Sus scrofa: one gene and its partner. The protein of the gene in region 1 purifies or fractionates together with the protein of each later gene. This does not show direct contact. Links are inferred from orthologs where the notes say so. Each region holds a gene or a part of one and is shown on either strand. Other genes may lie near its edges.

Region 1 (3,518 bases):
TCATGGGAGATGGTCAGGGCATGTGTGTTGTCACTCTGCTTGATGTGGGGCTTCCTGGGAATGGGAGCTATGTCCTTAATAAATGTCTAACCAGAGGGGAGAAGCTCATGAACAATGTGACAAGTGGGAAAATAGAGGGCCATGTTCTTGTTCTCTGGCAAGTGACCAGGACAGTGGTGGGGATAGAGAACAGGGTAATTTGGGTCTGATGATGTGAACAGTGGCCGTGCAGCTGCTCAGGTAGGCGGTGTTTGGAGGAGGGAATGTTGAGCAGCTCTCTGTGTGGCAGGTGTTAAGGGAGGGGAGCAGGTGCATTGCCCAGTGGAGGACCGGAAAGCCTTGGCCGGGGTGGGGCTACTGCAGCAGAAAGAGGCAGGTGAACCCTAGTGGCCAAATGCAAAGATGTGTTTGCACAGATGGTTGCGTATTTACTGGTGTTTCTGTGGGACGGTAGGGAGAGCTCTGGGCTGTGACTTCAGTGGGTAGCTAAATAAATAACTCTTCTACATAAAGCCCTACATGCCCTGTTCATTTTCACGTGAAGATTTTTAAAACTGACGACTTACCCGTAGTAAATCCTCAAGTGCGAGTGTGGAGCTTGGTGACGTCCCACGTGCACCATCCAGAAAAAGGTGCAGGGTAGACTGTGCTCCAGAGACTCTCAAGGCGCCCCCCATAGCAGGACCGCACCCCTCCGGAAGGGACACATTGCCGCCCTGACCCTCTGGCACAGCTTCATGCAAATGAGTTCTCACAACGCAGACTCACCCGGGCTATTTGTGTCTGTGGTTCTCACTGAGGTTTAACCCAGAGGCATTTGGAAGTAGAGGAAACCGTTCTGTCATTACTGGCTCCTAACTTTTCTCACAGCTTTATTTCCAATTACTGATCACTTTCCTTTTTAAAAAAATTAGTCGATTTTCAGCGTTCTGTCAATTTCTGCTGCACAGCAAAGTGACCCAGCCATACGTCCATGTACAGTTTTTCCACATTGTCCTCCACGATTTTCCATCACAAGTGATCAGAGGGCCCTGTGCTATGCGGCAGAATCATTGATAAATTTCCTGTGATAAAGTTTTGTTGTGACTTTGGAATTTAGTTGATTTTGGTGGTGTTTAATATCTATTTTGAGAGGATTCAACACCACATCTCAGTGTCGGGGGAGAACTTTGATGGAAAACAGGCCTGTGTCCACTCTCATGTGCAAATACATGTTTCTTCTTTAATTCATTAGTAACATCTTGAACCTTGGGCTTTTTTACATTTTTTTCTTTAAAAGTTTGAGAACACAGCGGTTCAGGCTTTAGGAAGCCGTGGAGTCGGTAATGTCATAGGGAGTGTTGATGCGAGCAGAGGCTGGCCTGCACTTTTAAAGATTAGGTTGGGGAGTTCCCGTCGTGGCACAGCGGTTAACGAATCCAACTGGGAACCATGAGGTTTCAGGTTTGATCCCTGCCTTTGCTCAGTGGGTTAAGGATCCGGTGTTGCATGTGAGCTGTGGTGTAGGTCGCAGATGCGGCTCAGATCCCGTGTTACTGTGGCTCTGGCGTAGGCTGGCAGCTACAGCTCCGATTGGACCCCTAGCCTGGGAACCTCCATGTGCCGCGGGAGCGGCCCAAGAAATGGCAAAAAGACAAAAAAAAAAAAAAAAAAAAGATTAGGTTGGGTGATTTGGGCCCCATAGCATGAATTTCTGTATTTACACATGCCAAATAAAATGTACGGCCGTCAGTGAAGTAGAAATAAAGAGGAGTTCTTGCCCTAATTCTAAACGTTATCCTGAAACCTTAGGTCCTTTTGGTGTGAACCACGGGGTGGAACTTCATTCGGATGTGATTGAGTACGCAAAGCAGAAACTCGACTTCTTCATCAAGACAAGCGACAGCTTTGACAAGTAAGGTCAGACCTGTCTCTGGGTCTGGGTGTCAGTCATAACTTAAACTTTGGATTAAATGGAAAGAAGTCAGTTTATTAGTGTTCCTCCTTTTCCAGCAAATGTGATTAAACTGTGGCAGGAGAGTCAGTGGTCTGTTCTAATGAAAGTATTTTGTGTTTTTAAGGGCCTTAAGTTTAACTCTGATACCTAAGTAAAGGTAATTTCTCACCAGTATAATAAGGGAAGGAAATAGTTTATTTTGATCAATTTTTATGTTTACAATGGAGACATTTTATCACCTACTTGCTTCTAAAATCGAGTTGTTGGAATTTGTCTTTAAATGGTACCGTATGTAACTAGCTCTTGCCATTTTAAAATAAGGCATTGGAGTTCCCATTGTGTCACAGCGGAAACGAATCCAACTAGGAACCACGAGGTTGCAGTTCGATCCCTGGCCTTGCTCAGTGGGTTAGGGCTCTGATGTTGCCGTGACCTGGGGTGAAGGTTGCAGATGCGGCTTGGATCTTTTGCTGTGGCTCTGGCGTAGGCCAGCAACAACAGCTCCGATTCGACCCCTAGGCTGGGAACTTCCATATGCTGCTAGTGTGGCACTAAAAGGACAAAAGACAAAAAAAATAAAATAAGGTATTAAAGTTCTTATTTTAAGGATTAAAATTTTTAGAAAAAAAATATATGTTTCCCTCATTTCACTTGATTAGTAGACCTTGAGTGGGAAATAGAATAAAAGATAGAAGATAAGATAATAAAGATATGAAATAATAAATATAGAAAGTAATAAGTTAATAAGAACAGAGCAAAGATAGTGATGACTGGAGCTTGGGTGATTGAAGCTTGTATCATGCTTATGATATTGATTTACATAATATTTTATCTAGAAATTCTAGGGTTCTACTTATTAACAGCATAATTCTGAAGCCTGGCATCTAGCTGCTGGCTCTAATTTTACTACATTGCTGTGGGATCGTAGAGAGAAAACACAAGCTGTGTCTACCATTGACTTACTCGGTAGACGCGTCATAATGTGATGCATTTAGTTGTGCAAAACATTTTTTGTTTTCAGGTTTGACTTCTGTGAACCCTCCTTTGTTACTGGCAACTGCCTGGAGATCTCCCCGGACTGCTCCCAGTATGACCGCGTGTACTGTGGGGCCGGCGTGCAGAAGGAGCACGAGGCGTACATGAAGCGCCTCCTCAAAGTCGGAGGCATTCTGGTCATGCCACTGGAGGAGAAGGTCAGACTCCTCGAGGCCCTCGTAACCTTCCCTCCGTGTCTCCAGGGAGGAAAAAGGCAGGTGTAGGTTGTAGGGACAGTGGCGCTGGGGCGGAGTCCTGAGAGCCCGGGCCCTTCCTCTCCACCTCATCCTGCTCCTGCACCGCCCTCCACAGCAATCTCTTATGCTTGTTCTGGCCTTAGTGTCACTCTACACGTATGGAAATTAATGGAGTAATTCTACTCTGATTGTTAGTCTCATTGTTAAATCCACGATGGCAACTCTTCGCAGAATCTCTGGCGTGGTGGGAATCTTGTCCGAGTCGGTCTGGCCGTGCCTGTTTCTGTACGTTTTAGATGTTGTTTCATTGGGAAGATCAGATTGTAGTAAATGAGCCAGTTAATCAGACA
Region 2 (3,518 bases), on another chromosome or scaffold:
CCAAACCCGCAACCTCATGGTTCCTAGTCAGATTCGTTAACCACTGTGCCACGACGGGAACTCCGTGCCTTTGTCTTCTAACTCATCTTCATCCTCTGTTTACAAATGGAGGCCTTTGCTAATTCCCAGACTAGGTTAAGGTGCTCCATCACAACTGTGTTTTCTGTTGTAAGACTTGTAATTAACTGTGTTCTTGACACTATATTTTTACTGAACACAAAATGTCTGACACAAAGTAGTGGGCAGTAAGAATTTTTTCTGTTAATTAATCTTTAGTTATCTTTGACTTGATTTTTCTATTGCCCTTTTATTTCTTTAGGTTTTTTTTTATTTTTTTATTTTTTTATTTTTGTCTTTTTGCCATTTCTTGGGCCGCTCCTGCGGCATATGGGAGGTTCCCAGGCTAGGGGTCTAATCGGAGCTGTAGCTGCCAGCCTACGCCAGAGCCACAGCAACGTGGGATCCGAGCCGCGTCTGTGACCTATGCCACAGCTCACAGCAACGCAGGATCGTTAACCCACTGAGCAAGGGCAGGGATCGAACCCGCAACCTCATGGTTCTTAGTCGGATTCGTTAACCACTGCGCCATGACGGGAACTCCCCTATTTCTTTAGGTATTGAGTGTAGATTTTCATTAGCTATGTCCCTGAAATTTATTCCTTTTTATTTCAGTTGCCACCAGTTTAGACTTTTAAATTCAACGTCTAGACTTTTGAAAGTATTCTTACTGTGATGTTATTCCTGTCATTTAACCTGCATATATTGTCATAAGATTAATTTTTAAGTACCATTTTATTGATTTTTTTCTTAGCCATTTATTGGTACACCATGCTAATGGTTCTACATAACCATTCCTAACTTACCATTCTACCTTATCTTCTATTAACCTTGCAGTCCACTCAACCTAGTTATTATACCTTGATTTGATCTTGTGTTTTTCTACTTCTGAATATTAACTTTACTAATCAATATAAATACTAGTTTGTTCCTAAGATTCAGTTCAAATCCCATCTTTCTGTAAATGGTTTCTTTCTTTCTTTTTCTTTTTCTTTTTTTTTTTTTTTTTTTCGCTTGTTAGGGCCGCACCCGATGGCATATGGAGGTTCCCAGGCTAGGGTTCGAATTGGAGCTACAGCTGCCTGCCTACGCCACAGCTACAGCAGCTCGGGGTCTGAGCCGCGTCTGCGACCTACACCACAGCTCATGGCAACACCAGATCCTTAACTCACTGAGCAAGTCTAGGGATTGAACCTATAACCTCATGGTTCCTAGTTGGATTAGTTTCCACCGAGCCACAATGGGAACTCCATGCAAATGGTTTCTTGATCATCCAGTTAGAAGTCATTCTCTTCAAAAATAAAATAGTTCATGTTAGTTATACTCTTTGTCACTTTACTGCTTTGTGCCTTTTTCTTTTTAGGGCCACACCTGCAGCCTATGAAAGTTCCCAGGCCAGGGTTTGAATTGGAGCTGCAGCTGTGGCCTCATGTCACAGCCACAGCAATGCAGGATCCAAGCCACATCTGCAGCTTATGCCATAGCTTGCAGCAATGCTGGATCCTTAACCCACTGAGTGAGGCCAGGGGGCAAACTCACATCTTCGCAGAGACAGTGTCAGGTCCTTAATCTACTGAGCCACAGCAGAAATTCTTATGCTCTTTTCTTTTTAAGTTTCCTATAGTGAAGAATTTTGTTTTATATGACTGTGTGTTCTCTTGAGCATTGTCACAATCCATAGAACATAATGACTCCTCAGTATTTGTTATTGCATTTATTGTACCAAAATACTGATTTGAATCATAATTAGAGTAAAATTTTTTTTCTGTTTTTCAGTTAACCTTTGTTCTAATCCAGAGGATAAGCTTCAAATTTATAGGGACAATTTTGAGAAGGCATACTTGGATTCAACAGAGAGATTTTATAGAACACAGGCACCCTCGTATTTACAACAAAATGGTGTACAGAATTATATGAAATATGTAAGTCAGAATTTAGTATATGTGAAAATTTGAGCTATTTTCTTGATATTCTTTAAATGATTGCTATTTTGCTTCTGGACAGGCAGACGCTAAATTAAAAGAAGAAGAAAAACGAGCACTACGTTATTTAGAAACAAGACGAGAATGTAACTCTGTTGAAGCAGTAAGTAATTTTGTAATTGTTTATTCTTTGAGATTATTTAAAGCACAGTAGCTGAGGGTTGACAAATACATGATGCAAGTAACATTGTTTCTCCTTTCTCAGATTCTGTGACCAGTATTACTTATAGATTGTTAGCACTCTTTCCCAGTGAGCCAAAGAACAGCTTCAGGAGGCACCTTATTCATAATTCTGTTTTTCAGAGCTGATGTGTTAAAAAATCTGTTTGCTATCCCTGCTGTAGACTTTTCTGTATTTACAGTACTTAATTTTTAATCAGTCTCTTTTTGTTATGTTTCATGCATATATAAAGTTAACGATGTTATCTCTTCTGGGGACGGTATCCAGAGGCATTCACAATGGTCCAGCAATTGACATACTGTCTATAGACTGTCCTACAACACAGTCTCTAACAAAATCAGGATGTCTCGAACCTCTGGTAATAGAATTATTTACCTTTATACCAAGAAGGTTGGGAAAGCACCAAAATTGCCATGTGGTGTGTGCCCAGGCCGACTTTGAGGGGTTCGTGCTGTGAGACCTAAAGTTCTTAATGAGATTGTCTAAGGCCTGGTGGGTTGAGGCTCCTGCGTTCTCACTGCTGTGGCTCTGGTTGCTGCTGTGCGGTATAGGTTCAGTCCTTGGTCCAGGAATTCCCACATATTGCCTGTGTGGCAAAAAAAAAAAAAAAAAAAAATCCAGAAAGAGAGAGAACCTGAAATAAACGTTGCAACTCTCAAAACCAAAAACCAAAAAACAAAAACAAAAAAACATGTCAGCTGGGTCTATGGTGGTTCCATGTGTGCTAAGTGTGTGCATGACAGGATCAAGCGTGCTTTCCTTATTGAGGAGCAGAAAATTGTTGTGAAAGTGTTGAAAGCACAAGCAGAGTCAGAAAGCTAAATTTAAAAAAATGAAGCTTTTTTTGAGTAATAAAAAAAAAATCAAAAAGCAAAAATAAATAAAAGTTAACCATTTAGTGATTTTCATGTAGCAAATAAAATATACTCCCAAGAGATATAGTTGATTCTCAGTATTCATGGTAATTATGTTTTATAAAATAATGGCTGCAAATGCTGAATAGTGAGCACCAAACCGTTATAACTAAGGGATATTTCTTCCTGTTACGGGAGGGTATTTTCCAACTTCCTCTTGTCATGAGATAAAAATATTAATTACTTGATAGAAGAACATTAGTCTTTTATATAGTTTTTATTGATTTTACGTTGTAAGCTCCTTATTTTAGAAAAATGATTAGAGGTAGTAGCCATGCTATAGTATCCATCCTGATGTTTTCTTTTACATGGAGAGTGACTTTAGTGTGCTTTGGTAATGAAGATAAGAATCTTCAGGTTTGAATTGGGTATTAGAAATTGCTC

Evidence for each region. The genes of interacting proteins can lie anywhere in the genome.
Region 2: the proteins of PCMTD2 (region 1) and CUL5 purify together in Homo sapiens (affinity purification with mass spectrometry; 4 studies listed by BioGRID and IntAct, counting the BioPlex papers as one, with this or other methods). This does not show direct contact. The link is inferred for Sus scrofa from reciprocal best matches to the Homo sapiens genes PCMTD2 and CUL5.

Annotation. Positions count from the first base shown.
Region 1 is NC_010459.5:63,035,764-63,039,281, forward strand, and holds part of PCMTD2 (protein-L-isoaspartate O-methyltransferase domain-containing protein 2), read left to right. Parts: intron 1-1,791; coding exon 1,792-1,894; intron 1,895-2,957; coding exon 2,958-3,129; intron 3,130-3,518. UniProt on the Homo sapiens protein: May act as a substrate recognition component of an ECS (Elongin BC-CUL5-SOCS-box protein) E3 ubiquitin ligase complex which mediates the ubiquitination and subsequent proteasomal degradation of target proteins.
Region 2 is NC_010451.4:36,454,294-36,457,811, forward strand, and holds part of CUL5 (cullin-5), read left to right. Parts: intron 1-1,833; coding exon 1,834-1,979; intron 1,980-2,061; coding exon 2,062-2,142; intron 2,143-3,518. UniProt on the Homo sapiens protein: Core component of multiple cullin-5-RING E3 ubiquitin-protein ligase complexes (ECS complexes, also named CRL5 complexes), which mediate the ubiquitination and subsequent proteasomal degradation of target proteins.